2 linked regions of the Caenorhabditis elegans genome follow. The protein of the gene in region 1 purifies or fractionates together with the protein of each later gene. This does not show direct contact. Each region holds a gene or a part of one and is shown on either strand. Other genes may lie near its edges.

Region 1 (7,278 bases):
TAGGCGGATTTTATCGCCGACCTGGAAAAAGGATTATTTCAGTTTTTAACTAATTAGTTTATTCGAAGATTTTAAACCATTATTTCAAAATATAATTTTTCAGGAAGTTAAATATTAAAAAAAAAAAACAACAAAAAAACTTGTTCTAAATTTTTAAAATTTCACTTTGTTAAAAAATATAATTTTTCTTTTCTGTACAGTTTTAGTGAATGGAAAATAATTGTTTCAATTTATCGAAGTTTGAATATTGTGAATTCTAGCCGAGGAAATAAAAAAAATGGTTTGAATTTCTAGCACTTTTCACAATGCAGATATACAGAAAAAGTTAATTATTGGAAATTTCTCGACAACTCAAAAAAAACTCGTCATGCGATTTTACCATGACGTTCATGTTTCTTAAATTGTTAGAGATGAAAAATTGAACTTTTTCACATATTAAACAACTTTATAAAACAAGAACGTCGTATTTTGTAAAATTGTGGCCCAATACCGTTGTTTCGTCCTAGAACGAAATATATTTGCTTGCATCGGCTTATAACTGAATTTTTTTAGTGAAATACCTCATATTTCGGAGGATTGTTCATTTTTGGATAAACACCAAGCTGTGCTCCATTGTGCATCAAAACATTATCTACAAGATTCCATCCCCATGATTGATCATCTGATCCGAGGAGAGCAACATAGCCAACACAGTGAAGAGCAGCATGTCTGAAAATGTTAAAGATATATCTTTAAATTTTCAAATAAATTAACTACTCACTTAGTAGCAATACCAACAACGGCTACAGTTCCCAACGGTCCATCCCAAGTTATATCAAATGCGTGTACTCCTTTTGAAATCCCTCGTTTTCCACGGACACCGTCTGTTGACTGAGCAACTGGCTGCCGGTGAACAGTGAAACCGTTGGTACGGATGTAGTTATTTCTTGAAATATCGCTCGTATTCCAGGCAAAATACCAGGCTCTCAGCTTCTTTTTTGCAGATCCCAGCTCGGCGAGCAGGAAGGGATCGGAAACTGCTGCTTCTGGAAGCTTCTTGCCAAGAAGGTACTGCCATATGTCACTGTCTTCCATTGAAAGAGCGTTATTCCAACTATGACAGGTTAGCATTGCAGATCGTAGGTCTGAAAACAGAGCCATGTAACTTCAAGGGGGAAAATGTTATATGTTTACCTTTCAATGGTAAATACTGAAAAATCTGATTCAGTACTTTCAGAGGAAGTCTAGAAGCTGACACTTCCGGGCGTCGTGGAGAACGTCGTCGTCTTGGGGGAATGCTATGCGGAGTCAATTGTTTTGGTGATTCATCTGGGGTTCCTGATGATGGATTCCCTTCGTCATCACATTCCACCATTGAAGTTTTTCGTTCTTTCGGGCTTTCCACTTGCTGAAAATTTAATATATTTCCCTTTTTTATTATTTTATAGCTTGTTTTCATAAACAATTTTTTAAAAATATTGTCTAGCTTTGAAGTTTGAAAAATTCAAGTTTCAAAAACAGTATTTTGAAAAAAGAAAGCAACTCACTTCCAACCCACTACTTTTCATAGGCGTTGAGGCCGTCAAATTGCACTGTTCGTCTGGAACAATCGTTTCCCCGTCGTTTTCAGCCATACTTCTCGATTAACCAGCTCACCACAGTCTTGTCATTCGCTTCAAATTGAGAATCCAAGTTTCAGAATGCATAATGTTAAGAAATAAAGTAAATCTCGGTAAACGACCGGTTTGGAAAAAAATCAACAAATAATTGAATATAAACTCTGCTTTTTGGTATTCAGAACAAACAAAAACAATGCAAAACAATGAAAAATCTATAAATCTACGGAACAAAAATTCTAATAAACCGAATTTCGACAAAAAACGATAAAGGAAAACCGTAATATATCATAAAATTAGATACACCATTACTTTTTAACTTTTGCAATCTTAGCTTTCGTTTTATCTCTTCCAGTGGCCTTCTTGGCGTCGGCATCAGTGAATAAAATGGATGGAGATGTGAAACGGAACAGTTTGGGCGAGAATTTTTCGTTGAAAAGAAGATTTTTGGGAATTGTGCCTTCTTCGGGTTCTGTCTCCGGTTCTTCTTCGATGGTTTCTAGTGATGGAGCCCATGTTGGCATTGGGCCGGATTTCAGACGTTTTTCTTCTTGTAAGCAATCTTTAAGTAGAATTGTTTCTCCAATATCACCAGGTACACTTCCTTTCACATAAATTACTTGTTTATCTACATTGATTCGAACAATCTTAAATAAATGAATTGAAAATTAAAATCGAGAGCAATTTCTTACTTCCAAACCAGAAACAGTCCTCCACTCATAACCCATATGTCCCGGCATACGTTTTCCTGGCCAAATTCGAGCATCGCCGACTGAACCAACGGAACCAATTCTACGATGTGATTTTGTGGTACGTCTTGTCGGTTGTCCACGCATTCCCCATCGATGCATTCCACCCTGAAAACGACTAGTTTCGAAAATATTTCGCAAGGGTTGAGAGATTATTTTGCTCCTTGGCTTGCAAGGGAAATTTTGGAAGTTTTAGACTATTGTAAATTGAAAAAAATTACCTGGAATCCCCAGTCAATAGTTTTTCCAGTAGCAGTTACATATTGACCAACTCCGAAGTGACGGGCATCAAGTGGCTGTCCAGCACTGGGGAGAGCGTCTTCTGTTACCAGGAAACATCCGAGTTTCTCTGAATTTATTTTTTTAACCATGAATTTACGGTGAAGGACTATCGAAAAGCGGAGCAAAACACAAAAAAAACCCAACCTTTCACTGGAATTCCTGCGCGAACAAATTGCCTACGGTACCCAAGCGTGTATTTTGTTGGATCATCATTTCCGGCACCCACTGTAACTCTCCACATAGGACCGTGACGATTGAAAGCCTTTCTTTTTCCGACGGCTGACGATTTATACCAAGCCTCTGGTGATGTAATACTGACAACATGATTTTCATCAACTTCAAGCACAGTGCACAGAATTCGGTTTCCTTCATTTGTCCATTGTGGGAGCATTCCGATTTTGCGGACAACCAGACCCACACGTCTTGATGAATCTGGAATGTCAACAACTGAGACATTGGTTTCTTGAGAATTTTGAAATGCAATGGTGGACGCCGCAAGAGTTTCTTTCTCAATTACGGTTTCAAGCAGATTTCTGAACAAAAACGTTTGCTAAACAGGTAAGAATTAATGCAACTTACTTTGTCCCCTGGCTAATACCCACACTGCTTTTCGGCACACTCTCTTTGACTGGCGGAAGCCATGGAGCTGGGGTCAATGTTCTTCTGCGACCTCTCTGCTGACTGATATGTCCACTGAAGGCCATTAGAATTCTCCCGGCCCATTCTGGAGTCGGACCCGTCGTCACACTGGATACCAGTGAACGGAGCATCTGTAATTAAGATTAAATATTAGTGAGATATAATTGATCATGAAATTCTAGAATAAAAATGAAGAAAATATCATCAGAAACTCCGCATGGAAATAAAAATGCGAGATACGAGAGCTGGACGAAATATAAAATGATGGCATAGCTAATTATAGCTTTATACCTTGAATGAATAACACTTCTGACAAGCATCAAAGAAACTTGTGTTAAAATAGTAGCTATTCAGCCAAATGAAGTGATTGATTCTGCTAAGTAATGAAAAATGGGAATAAAAAAGTCGGTAATGATAATCTGACGGGAAGATACTGAGAACAGAGGAACTAACGAATAAATCGAGAAGAACAAATAATTCGAAGGTTAGGCATATTACTTAAAATGAAATTATAACTAAAAGACGAACTTCAAATTCAAAAGAAGCTTGCTAACTTTACTTTAGCCCGACTTTAATCAATGCTCCTGAGAAACTGGGTGTTTCGTATGCGGCTAAACAACACGCGCATACGGAATTTCGGAGTGTTGTTGCCAGAAAATTCAAATAAAATTTTTCAAACAAAAAATGCAATTGTTTGTTTAAAATACAATTTTCAGGGTATATATTACCAAGAATTTTTAAAATAAAAGTTTAAAACCAAAGAAATGCGAAAATATTTTTATTGAACATATTAATTATCAATTTTTGAGAAAATAGGCCAATAAAGAAGGTCCTTCCCGTTCTGAATGTCTTGAATTGCCATAGCAACATCATCCATGCGAGTTTTTTGCATAAAACTAGGTAAAAGTTCTGGCACGTAACGTTTTATAATCATAAGGAATACTCTTATTTGGCGATAGCGTTGGAAATGGAAAATAGAGAGTTGCGCCATAGAGGAAATCTGAAATATTGATGATAAATCAATCTGAACGGAAAACTGGAAAAAATAACCAAATATGTTTGTTGCTCAAGAGTTAACTGATGCGGGGAATATTCAAATTCTTCGTTTTCAGATTTCTGATCACGCTGAAAAAATTTAGACTTTACAAAATTTAGATTGCACCTACGTTTTCGGATAAGTCGCCTGAGCTGGAAGCAACATCGACGATAGCTCCTTCTTCAGAATCTTCTGATATTTCAGAACATTCCTCTTTAATCAAATATTCTTGTTTCAACGTTTGTGGATCAGCAGGTTCATCCTCAGAGTCTTCCATAGCTCCACTGATTTTTTGATGTGATTCTTCTAGGACAGTTGTGCTTGATACGGCTGAAGAACTCCCTTCAGGTTTCAAAACTCTAGATTCTTCAACGAAATCTTGTGCGAGTATTTTTTTCGGAAGATTATTGACTAGGAATACTGTGCAAATTAGAAATTCATCAAGTCTTTTAGAATAACGATTAATCACTGGAAAGCATTGAATAGCGTTTCGGGTTAGAAACTCTTCCGCTGAGGAAACAAAGACTCCATGGACCTAAAATTTATTTTCAAATTAACGAATTTTGAAACTAAAAGAATAACCTTTTCAGCTTCAAGCAATACTTGTCGTTCCACAGCCCTCCGACTCCGCCCGTCAACAAACTGTATAAGTTTTGAATTGCACAAGAATTGAAAAATAGTCGAGTCATCGACTTTTTGGTTAGTTGTATCGTTATAATAATCTGGCAAGTATATTACAGTTTGGCACCCGTCTAGAATGAAATTTAAAAGTATTTCAAGTAGAGATCTCGTGGAAATTATTGGAAGCGACGATGAGATCGGAATTAGCATGTCCATGAATGATAAGCCATCTGAAACGAATTATTCAAAGTTAAAAACATCTAAATATGAAAGTAACCAACCTATAAATACGGGTCTAAGCATACAATCCGTGCTTCTTTGGTTAAAAATTGGAGTATTTTCTGATCCGATTTGATAATTACATATTAATGATAAATCGTTGTTACGCAGCAATTTAAGCCGCTGATGTTCATCAAAATGGCATGAAAAGTTCTTAATTGTGAGGCGACTCGTTGATTCCAAGAAATCATCATGTTTCTGGAAGTGTAGAAGCCACAATATTTCTTGAATACTTTTCAATATTTTTTTTCGTTTTTTGCGTTTTTTTTCTTGTAACGTGGTCCCTGTGTATGAATGGAGTTTAGTTTGTCGTTGTTTTTCTATTTGTTTGAACTGCAAATCTGGAGCCGAAAAGTGCCCATCAAGCCATGGGCGAAAATTTGGAGTATCTCTGAAACTTGTCAAAGGTATTTAATTAAAAAATATATTCACTCTATATTGAAAAGGCTTACTTTGCAGGGAAAAGCATGTCGAAAATCTCGCTCGCAGTTCCAGTTTCCTGAGGATTGAAATAATACATTTCTTCAAGAAATGGACGTTGAGGTGTCTCTCCACTCACAACTCCACAGGGTTTAGCCACGAACTTGCGGTTTATCTAAAACAAAATATATCTTCAATAAACTATTGAAAACCTAAAAACAGCTTACTCGTCCTTGTTTATTTTTTCGGCCAGCTCGAAGTTCCTGGAGTCTTGCTTCAAGTTGTAGAAGTTCTGGAGGATACTCGGGCTTCGTTTCAGATATTCTGAGTTTATTTGTTTTCAAGACTTCCTTCTTCACTACCGGCTCTTCCTTTCCACTATCTGATTCAGAAATACAAATTATTCGGCGGAAATTCTGAAATAGTAATACATTTTTCTAATTAACATGATACAAACAAACCGTCGCATTCCGAATTGATGGTCGAGCAGGCGGAAATTTCAAATTACTCGATTCTTCTGATTCTGTTTCTTTTTCAATTTTTCTTTGATCATTGTTCTTTTCAGAAAATGTGCAGTCTTCTACCTCGGGAGTCGGTGGTTTTGAAGCTGGCCTGCAATTTTGATCCAGATGAAGAATAGACTTATATTTATATGTACTTCTCTGATTTTCTCACAACCTGCTCGTCCTCTGAGGTGCTTGGTGTTAATGCCACACAGAATCGGTACATCTGAGAATTATATAGAAGAAAAGTTACTTGAGAGGCGGCACAAGGATACGCTGTAAAAATTAGAAACTGTTCAAACAAAAAATGTTTTTAAAACTTTCCTACGGTAATTCTGTTGGTCTCGCAACGAAAGCTGGACTCCAGACATGCGCCTTTAATTCTCACGATGATACGGCTTTAATCAATTTTTTTTATTATTTATTATTATTTATTTTCGGTATTACATAAACATATTGAACGGAATCAGCTAGAAAATCGTAATGAAACGAATTTATATAACCACCTGTTTTAAATTATACAAGTTTTCATCAACATTGAAAGAAAAAATAAAGTGCATCCTTTTTTAAATGAAAATCTTCAGCGCTCTTCAACAAAAATGTTTCAAATCATCTCCTATGACCTAAATTTGAGACGATCGTCGGCCACGGCCGTTCTCTAAAATAATTTAAATTCAGAATTCTCACGCGATGAGACTCACTCTTCTTCTTCGCGAAACCATTTCTCAAGTCCAGAAACTCATAAAAGACGATTTGAATGTTTTGAAAATCGATAAATACTTGGTGAACATAAAAGCAGGTTCTGGAGGTTCTGGATTGTCAAGGTTATACTCTTTTGTTCACAAAAGTTCATATTTTTTGTTTCTTCAGGTACAACGGAGTCGGTGGAAATGGAGGAGACATTTACTTTGTTGCAAAACCTTCACTTGCATTCACAGATATCAAAAAACGACTTAAAAACAAAATGAAAGTAAGTTTTCTTAAGCTTTATTTATTCTATTAAAATCGAACAATTTCAGATACGATCAGAAAACGGCGAAGCAGCCACTAAAATCATGTTGATTGGACAACACGCGAAGCATCAATTTTTCGATGTTCCAGTTGGGATTGAAGTTGTTGATCGAGAGAAAAACAAGCTAATTGCACGTTGCTCC
Region 2 (9,548 bases), on another chromosome or scaffold:
AAATTACAGTTCTCTTTAAAGGTGCACACCTTTTCTCATGAAACAAAAATTGTCGTGTCGAGACCGGATACCGTATTTTGTGGCAGAAAATCGTCTGGAATTCAAATTGAAAATAAAAACGTTAATTTTCAGCAAATCCTCAAGCGAAGAGATGACACTAAACGAGTTCAAATTCATTTGGTCAATGGAATATGGCCATCGAATGTGGGGACGCGCCATCGGTATCGTTTTCCTGATCCCGTGCGCCTATTTCTGGGCTCGTGGCCGATTCGCACCGGATATGAAGCGACGAATGGCACTGGCCACCACACTTTTGCTGGCTCAGGGAGGCATCGGATGGTGGATGGTCAAGTCGGGGCTTGATCCATCGAAGAATTCATCGGATGTTCCGAGAGTATCACAGTATCGGCTGGCTACCCATTTGACGATGGCTTTTGTGCTCTATTCGATTTTCTTCTGGAATGGACTTTCTCATTTAGTGAAGCCACATGATGTAAGACTCTGAAATGATTTCAAATTCCATTTTCTTATTTTATTTTTTCCAGCTCTCAAAGGTGCGTTCTAAACTCGGAGCCCTTCGTGGAATGACTCATGGATCCAAGTTAATGGTATTCTCTACTGCAATTATGGGTGCTTTCGTCGCCGGACTTGACGCTGGTCTTGTCTATAATTCATGGCCTAAATTCGCCGAAAATTGGATTCCCGAGAACATGTTGTCGCGTTCACCGACATGGAAGAACTTTTTCGAAAATGATGTTACCGTGCAGTTTGTGCACCGAAATTTGGCATATTTGACCGTGATTAGTGTACTTTCAACGTTTTTGATTGGTCGACGGGCGCCGATTCCGAAGAGGACACGGATGGCACTTAATCTGACAGTTGCAGCAGTGTTTGGACAGGCGGCTCTTGGAGTTTTCACACTTGTATGTATCTTCAAATTTTGTATTTTTAGCGCCGAAAATGCAGTACCCGGCTCCGACACGACAAATTTATATTAAATACGAAGAGGTGTGCGCCTTTAAGGAGTACTGTAGGATCAAGCATTCATTATTCCGGAATTTTCACTGATTTTTCATAGTTTTTCGATACTTATTTAAAAATTTACTTTCTTATTAAATAAATTTACGAGTTGAGAAAAAATAAGAAAAGTCAATGAAAATTCAGCTGCAACATGATTTGGAAACTACAGTCTTAAAGGCTCTTTAAAGGCGCACACCCTTTCTGTTTTAATAATATTTGTCGTGTCGAGACCAGGCACCGCAATTTTGCCCCTAAAATCGCAAACAATAATACTGTTCGTCGAAAAAAAAAACTATATTCGTTTTCAGATCAACTACGTCCCTGTTTGGCTCGCAGCATGCCATCAATCCGGCTCAATGGCTCTTCTCTCCTCAGTTCTTTGGTTAAGTCATGAACTTCGCCGACTTCCGAAATAATATCAAAACAATTATTCTTAATTTATATACATAGAATCATTCTTCTAATTTCGTCATTATTGTTAGTTTAGTTCACATAGAGACACTTTCCAGTTTTTCTTTGTTATTATTTGGTTGTTAATGTTACAGCATAAACGAGATTTTCTTCTTCTTTTCAGCCTTCGGTCTGCTTCCGTCAAAGTTGTAAATTTCGCGAACAATCTTCTGGTAAGTGGGATTGTTGGAATCAGAGGAGGCGAACTTTTCCAGTTCGGAACGAACGACCTGAATGATTTAGGGGTTACTGTAGGAACGAATCGGGGGATGTTACCTTTATGGATCCATTCTTGTAAAGCTTCACCATTAGATCTTTTCCAATAGTTCGGATTTGTGGATCAGAAGTTCTGATGCACTTTGTGGCAAATCCAGCGACCACTTTATCGTTTAATCCTCTGAAAATTTGAATTCCCGCCCGATCTTTTGATTTTTTAATTCTCACGTTGGCTCATTCGGAACACCATAGAGTTTTGCAATGACCTCAATCAATATAGCTCTTCCTTTCAGATTTTTAGAGTTTGAAGAGAGCAATTTGGTTCCATAAGATTTGGCGATTGAAGGGAGTTTCGAGCCATCTCGGAAAACTGTCAAAGTTTCCGAAACTAGTCGTTTTTCCTGGAAATTTAATTTTCGAATTAGAGTATTACGGGAACATAGAGTTCAAAGAACGCGTATTGCACAACATATTTGACGCGCAAAATGTCTCGTAGCAAAAACTACAGTAATTATTTTAATGACTACAGTAGTATTTGTGTGTCGATTTACGGGCTCGATTTTTCGAAATGAATCATGAATCATCAACAATTAATATTATAGGGCCTTCATTCCGAGATGACAAACTTTTTGGTGGCAAAGGTTCTTTGGGGGCATAGTATCCAAGGAGACAAAGTATCCAGTAGACAAACTGGGGTGTATCTTGGGGGGCATATCTTTGGTGACAACCTTTTTTTCAACTAGATTTTTATATGTATTTTTCAACTAATTTTTGTTCACATTTTTCTGGAATAAGTTTTTTAATGCAATTTTCAATCGATTTTCGGTTATAATTCCCTCACAATTGAATGTATCAGGTTGTCCCATAAGTTTTTGTACTATTTTTTTTTGAAAAAAATTTATTTCTCTCAAGCGACAAGTAGTACTATTCACACAAGTATTCACCATTAGTGTCCACCACTTGTTGCCATTTACTAGGTAACATCATGATGCCACGGGAGAAGAAATCCGGCGAACGCGATGAGAAGAAAGTGGAGAGTTCAGTTTTGAGATGCTCTTCGTCGTCGAATTGCTTGTCGCGCATGTAGTCACTGAGAGACAAGAACAAATGGTAGTCGGTTGGTGCAAGATCTGGAGAATATGGTGGATGCGGTAAAACAGTCCAACCAAGATCTTGCAGCTTTTGGAAAGTCTTCTTGGCGACATGAGGCCTAGCATTATCGTGAAGAAAATATAGTTTTTCATATTTTCCGTTGGTCTTTTCTGCAACTCGGTCCAATTGGGCACAATAGTAATCAGCAGTGATAGTTTTATTAGTTGGCAACAATTCCCAGTGCACGGGTCCTTGAACACCCCACCAGACACAGATCATAATCTTTTTTGGGTGAAGATCAGGCTTTGGCGTCGGTATTCCTTTCTCACCGATCGGAAGCCATTGACGTTTTCTGGAATGGTTAACATAGAGCACCCACTTCTCATCTCCAGTAACCAGATTGTTCAGCCAATCGAACTTTCGACGAAAAGTTAGAAGTTGAGTACAAACGTTGACCCGAGTGAGCTTCTGTGATGCCGAAAGTTCATGAGGCACCCAAGTTCCAAGTTTTGAAGTAAAACCAAGGCGACCCAAGTGACGTGCAATTGTGCTATGACAACACTCAAGCTTCTCTTCCATTTCACGAAGACTAAGACGAGGCTCTTCCTCCACCAGCTTCACTAGGTCTTCTTCATTTAACTCTACCGGTCGCCCAGAACGTTCTATTTCTTCGAGACTGAAGTCGCCGTTCTTGAACTTTTGAAACCAACTCTTTGCTGTATTATAAGAGAGTGCTCCCTCACCCATCGCACCGCATATGTTTCGTTCCGCTTCCATTGCTGAATGACCAAGACGAAATTCATAAAGAAGAAGCAATCTAACGTCTCGACGTTCAAGTTTGATGATTGTCATCGTGGCAAAGTAGAAATGGATGAAATGAATCTTTTCTGAAAGGGGACGACCCGACCTTGACACGACCTACGATGAAAAAATTTTAAAACTTTCTAGAAGTTTTGGAAAAATATTTGAAAAAAAGTACAAAAACTTATGGGACAACCTGATATGAACGATGGTCTTTTGGGAAAAGGCTGTAAAACGTCCAACTAACTTGGAATATCGTGAGGCTCTTCCTGATGTTCTGATCCTTCAGCTCCGAAGGATCACATGGGTACCTTCTGATGTTCTGATCTTTCAGATAAGAAGGATCGTAAGGGAACCTCCTGATGGTCTGATCCTTTAGCTCCAAAGGATCACGAGGCTCTTCCTGATGTTCTGATCCTTCAGCTCCAAAAGAGCATGAGGCTCTGCCTGATGATCTGATCCTTCCGATCCGAAGGATCACATGGGTACCTTCTGATGTTCTGATCCTTCAGATAAGAAGGATCGTAAGGGTACCACCTCATATGGATTCATATGGATTTTTGACAAAATTTGAAAAAAATAAATGTTGAAAAAAAACTCGAAATTTTTTTTGTTATTCTTTATTCTTTAAAGAATAGTTCAAATTTATCATGATAGGACCGAAAACTTTCAAGAAACAGTATAACTATACATAATAATCAGCTTCTACCAAATAATGATAAATTCTCCGCGATGACAAACTTTTGGGTGACATCGGAAGGATCAGATCATCAGGCAGAGCTCAATGCTCTTTTGGAGCTGAAGGATCAGAACATCAGGAAGAGCCTCGTGATCCTTTGGAGCTAAAGGATCAGACCATCAGGAGGTTCCCTTACGATCCTTCTTATCTGAAGGATCAGAACATCAGAAGGTACCCATGTGATCCTTCGGAGCTGAAGGATCAGACCATCAGGAAGAGCCTGACGATATTCCAAGTTAGTTGGACGTTTTACAGCCTTTTCCCAAAAGACCATCGTTCATACATTCAATTGTGAGGGAATTATAACCGAAAATCGATTGAAAATTGCATTAAAAAACTTATTCCAGAAAAATGTGAACAAAAATTAGTTGAAAAATACATATAAAAATCTAGTTGAAAAAAAGGTTGTCACCAAAGATATGCCCCCCAAGATACACCCCAGTTTGTCTACTGGATACTTTGTCTCCTTGGATACTATGCCCCCAAAGAGCCTTTGCCACCAAAAAGTTTGTCATCTCGGAATGAAGGCCATATTATAGTGACAAATAAATGATTTTAACTCATTTCGATAATCGAGATCCCGTAAATCAGCACAAGCGCTACAGTAGTCATTTAAGGAACCTAACGAGACCCATGGCTCAGGGGCGGTGCGTTTCCAGTTATCATAGAGAGTGCACCTCGATTTCAGAATCCATAATAACTGAATTGTCGCGTAAAACAATGCATCAAACCCAATGTTCAAAAATTCCAGACTTACACTAGACAACACTCTTGTCGCTAGAATTTCACTTGTCTCGGATGCAACTCTCTGAATATACTTCTCAAGATTCATATTTGGAAGCCTCGAAGTACAAAAGTGATGCCAGAGAAGAAGCACATCTTTGTAAACTGTGAATAGTGGCTCTTTGAGCAAATGAGCCAACAAACAGCTAATGCTCTCGAAATATTTGGAAGTTTTCTCCGCACTCAACGAATCGATTTTCTCACGGATTTCCTCGATTCCTTCCTTTCGATTTTCAAAATGTTTTGAGTAGATTTTTGCGATCTAAAAATCGAATTTGAGGTGACGTGATTAGAGAAGTTAACAACTCACAGGCTCCAATCCAAAAAGTGAAATTGCTGATCTAACATTTCCACGCTGATCCGGAGGAACCATCGAAAGAACCTGCTCTTCAGTTATATCATCCGTGGATTTATCCACAAAATCTTGAGATTCTAGATGTACAGAAGACGATCGTTTTCTGTTCAAGGCGGCTGGAACAATCATATTTTCTTTCTCAAGGAACTTATTTGTTCCCATTCCAATACTATTGCTTCTTCCTGAAAATTGGATTCAGTCTGACATTCTGAAATTAATTTTTCAAGTCGCTCACGTCTTGAAGAAGAAGAAGTGGAATTCGATGATGAAGAACTCGGAGCCTTTCTGACAACTGGTGATGGAGTCCTTTTTCTTGAAATTTGAGAGTTCATAGTAGTCGGCCGAATCGGAACTTCCCAAGTTGTACTACTTCTTCTAGTTGACACGGAGTCATTTGTTTGGGGTCTTTTCGGGGTTACAGTTCTTCTGGAAGAACTGGAAGAAGGTGGTCTAGGTGGGAGAAGGAATGCAGTAGATGGATCAGCTTGAACTTCAGTTGGGGAAAGGTCTGAAAGAATGTTGGAGTTAACTTTAAGTGTTAAACTTTTTTTTTGAAAAAACTCACCAACTGGTTGATAAAGCTTCGGTTTGGAAGGCAGCTCCGAGTTCTCTGGGAAGAGATTTTTTGGCCGATGTATCTCTTCATTTCTCGGCTTTAACTTCTAAACGTTAGTGAAATAATATTTATAGAATTACGAACCATGGTATCCTCCAGCAACCGTGGATCAACTGATGCAAGGATATTCGATCGTAACGCAGTGATTTCATCTGAAAATTGAAGAGTAGGGGTATTAGTAGAAGTTTGGATATGCAGCAGTGACATACCTTGTAGATCATTCGCCCTTTGAAAATCCTCATCAGCTACAGCCTCGCCTTTATCATTTTCCAGTTCTTCCATTTCTTTTGTAGATTTCTTCAAATCCCGAACAGCTAGTTGAGCTGATTTTGCTAGCTTGAAGTCCTCATTCTACAAGTTATCAATTTGATCTCCACTTTTTTAAAACCTACCTACCGCAACAGCCGTCTGCTTATTCCTCTCTATTGCACCAATCATTGCTTGAAGTTCTTTTGAATATTTGTGATCTGGAATCACATTTTGCGGAATCCCCGGTTTGAAATCTCGAGGATCTGCTTCAATGGGCTCGTCAGATGGGAGATATTTACCAAAAAGCTTGACATCGACTAGACCAACCTTAACATTTTTGAACTTTATACTAGATCTTTTGAATTACAAAGATTCAACCAAAGATTCCAAATTATTGATAACATCTGCATGGGCTTCTGATACACTTAAAAGCAACATGGAGCAAATTTCATCAAGAAACACATTTTTCAGCTCATACTTTTGATCGTCACTTTTCCTGCTCTTAAACTGAACATCCCTGGAAATGTGGAAGCTAAGATTACTAACTTTAATAATTGACAAACCCAATATATCCTTCCTCGTCTCGGCCAGAGTATATCGAGATTTTTTTCGGTATGAACTTGTTATGGGCAACAATTTCTATCTTCTCAATTTCACTCTTTTGACGGAGATGAAGCTCAATTTCCACTGGGAAGGTAAGGGATCTGAAAATCAGAAAAATGAATATTCTAGTATGTTTTGTGTTGAGATGTTTGGTTATTCTTGAACTCTGAAGTGTTTTGAAATTTTGTTTTTGGGAGCAAATTTTTTTTGTTGGAAAAATAGGACCTTGAAAAAAAAGTAGCTCCGGTTTTGAAACTGTAATACAAGAAAAATCAAAAAGATCCGCTAACACTTAGATTTTTGCCACAAAAATGATCGAAAATGAATGAATGTGGCTGAATTAAAATTTCATAAGAAGTTGCCTTTACGCGGAAATTCAAATTTTTGAATGAAACTTGATATATTTTTTAATTTTGCCTGCCTACTACTAGTCCTGCTTATTGCCAAAACTTGTACGAATTCACAAATTTCAGATAGTCCAACATGACCAAGATATCCTAAATAACCCTCCATACATTTTCAGACAAAATTTTACTTATAAAAGTGACGGCAAAGTTTTAACATACTTTAAAAAATGTTGATAACTGCAACTAATCTTATCTGTTCTCAGTTGATAGTTTTCAAAATTCTACTGGAATTCTTCAAAACTCACTTTTCAGAAACCCACTGTTTCTCCAAAAGATACTGTTTATCGGAATTTGGCACTCCGCCAATATGCGAGACAACGTACTCCAGCTGCATACGACTTATGACTAATATAACGAAAACACATCTCGACCATCTTCAGACGAGCTCCATGGAGACTGTTGTCAAGACGGGCACAAAAACATACGAAATTTGAATAATTTATTGTTGAAGGTTTGAGTGGTGCAAAACAAAGCAAAAAAAAAGAAATAAACGAAAAAATTGTAAAAGCAAAAAAAGCGAAAGACTGCCGGGTATTCAGAGACATAGAGAAAATGCCGCATTCCGCTAAGAGCACGGTATATACACATACAAGAGAAATTTATTTAAATATCATAGTTAGATTAAATATTAATTTAAAAAATAATTAAGTGAGAGCGGGAGAGAAAGAGATGAGAAATTCTTTTTGATGAGCATAACAGAATTAAGAAAAAAACTGGGTTTCTGGGATTGGAGAAAATTAGAGATATGAGATTTTGATAGTGTATGCACCTAGTACCGATATCCATCATTTTGATGTCCCTGCTGCTGTTGTTGCTGCTGTTGTGGACTGATGGTTCTATGGAAGGATTCCGTTGTTGTCGTCACCTCGTATTGACGATTTCCTTGGTTATGACGGTTTCGCAGTGTGCCGTTCGGCCGCTCCACGTCTTCCTCGTAGACGCTAAAATTAGGTGATTGGACATATTTTATTGGATGTTTCCTAACTTTTGGAAATATGGAAAAGTATAAGTATTTGAACTAGACCATTCTAGAACGCCAAAAATTGGCGCTGCAGTTCAAATTTTAAAGCTACAAGAATATTAGAAACTCGTAAATTCGCGCCACAACGTAGAATAGAGGTGATAGGCAGGCGGGGTTCAGACAGGTTCTGAAGTTGCGCCTGCGCACTATACCTGCCTACTTATTACCATGTTGCGGAATATTGCGACCTTGGACAGAAAAATACAATTAACATTTTTTGTCTGATTCCCTTTTTTATTGCAAAATCTATGACTTTGTAGAAAATTCAAAGAAATTTCGAAATCCTTCTAGATACTGTATCGGCGAGGTCTTGATCGTTTCGAGACCCGATACTGTATTTTTATGTCAAAAGCCAAAAATCTTATGGGTAATAAAACCGCAGTAAAAGCTAAGCAACAACTTATTTGAGCCCATAATTTGAAACCCTAGATACTCTAACAAAAACCTGATAACTTACACATATTCCTCCTTCACCGACGGAGCCTGAACACGTGGAAGTCTAAACCAACTGAAGAACGGCGAGACGCGCTCCTCTTGAACAATCGGCGTACGTTCGATAGTCATATGGTAGACTTCTTGGAAGCACAGGACGCAGTAGCACTGAACAAGGATCATAGATTATATTGCATTTCTAGCCTACTAAAGGTACTCACCAAGAACCAAGCCATGAAGATTCCGATGACCCATGCGACCCAGATGTCACGCCAATGGTTTTTGTATCCGTTGATACGGGAGAACGAGTCGACGATGCAGAGTCCCATGAATCCGAAGATAAGGAGTGGGCGGAGAAGTGGGGCTCCACGCAAGTTAATCATGTAGTAGATGTAGAGCTGGAGAGAATTAAATTTTGAAAATTTAAATTTCAATGATCGAATTTTTGATTCTTTGGGGGTACCCGGGCTCTATTTAGACAACCTTTAACATATTTGAAATATTTTTTTGTTTAGTGTTGAAGCAGAAATGAAAACGCCGAGCATGGCATTTTGATCAAACTTTTCCCATATATTTTAAATTTTGAAAACTAAAAATTTGCAAGTTACAGATGCAAAGCAAGCGGCGTACGATGAGACGACGGCATGAAGGGATGGGAACGTGAGCCATGCGTAACGAAGCTCATCAGCTCCTCTGAAAATTACAAAAATAATTTTGACATAACTTCTCCTTTATCACAAACCTGTAATTGCAGGCCAAATGAG

The links. Proteins that work in one complex are often made in the same cells at the same time.
Region 2: the proteins of mrps-18C (region 1) and T06D8.2 fractionate together in Caenorhabditis elegans (co-fractionation; one large-scale study listed by BioGRID). This does not show direct contact.

The regions. Positions count from the first base shown.
Region 1 is NC_003281.10:4,931,696-4,938,973, reverse strand, and holds mrps-18C (Large ribosomal subunit protein uL3m), read right to left. Parts: upstream 3,397-7,278; coding exon 3,206-3,396; intron 3,160-3,205; coding exon 2,771-3,159; intron 2,694-2,770; coding exon 2,566-2,693; intron 2,453-2,565; coding exon 2,288-2,452; intron 2,243-2,287; coding exon 1,904-2,242; 3' UTR 1,753-1,903; downstream 1-1,752. Other genes in the region: fsn-1 (F-box/SPRY domain-containing protein 1), read right to left, coding at 1-21, 561-708, 761-1,124, 1,174-1,387, 1,527-1,613; eri-9 (Zc3h12a-like Ribonuclease NYN domain-containing protein), read right to left, coding at 4,056-4,265, 4,316-4,390, 4,432-4,836, 4,884-5,152, 5,204-5,598, 5,654-5,796, 5,849-6,037, 6,083-6,233 and 2 more; C26E6.12 (OBG-type G domain-containing protein), read left to right, coding at 6,815-6,948, 6,995-7,094, 7,144-7,278.
Region 2 is NC_003280.10:11,224,796-11,234,343, reverse strand, and holds T06D8.2 (UVR domain-containing protein), read right to left. Parts: upstream 7,666-9,548; coding exon 7,577-7,665; intron 7,026-7,576; coding exon 6,885-7,025; intron 6,839-6,884; coding exon 6,700-6,838; intron 6,649-6,699; coding exon 6,469-6,648; intron 6,424-6,468; coding exon 6,282-6,423; intron 6,225-6,281; coding exon 6,157-6,224; intron 6,110-6,156; coding exon 6,022-6,109; intron 5,965-6,021; coding exon 5,692-5,964; intron 5,639-5,691; coding exon 5,412-5,638; intron 5,364-5,411; coding exon 5,076-5,363; intron 2,088-5,075; coding exon 1,915-2,087; intron 1,868-1,914; coding exon 1,747-1,867; intron 1,701-1,746; coding exon 1,560-1,700; 3' UTR 1,509-1,559; downstream 1-1,508. Other genes in the region: cox-15 (EOG090X04TT), read left to right, coding at 133-493, 546-923, 1,329-1,436; plpr-1 (Phosphatidic acid phosphatase type 2/haloperoxidase domain-containing protein), read right to left, coding at 8,101-8,272, 8,810-8,952, 9,006-9,182, 9,393-9,477, 9,527-9,548.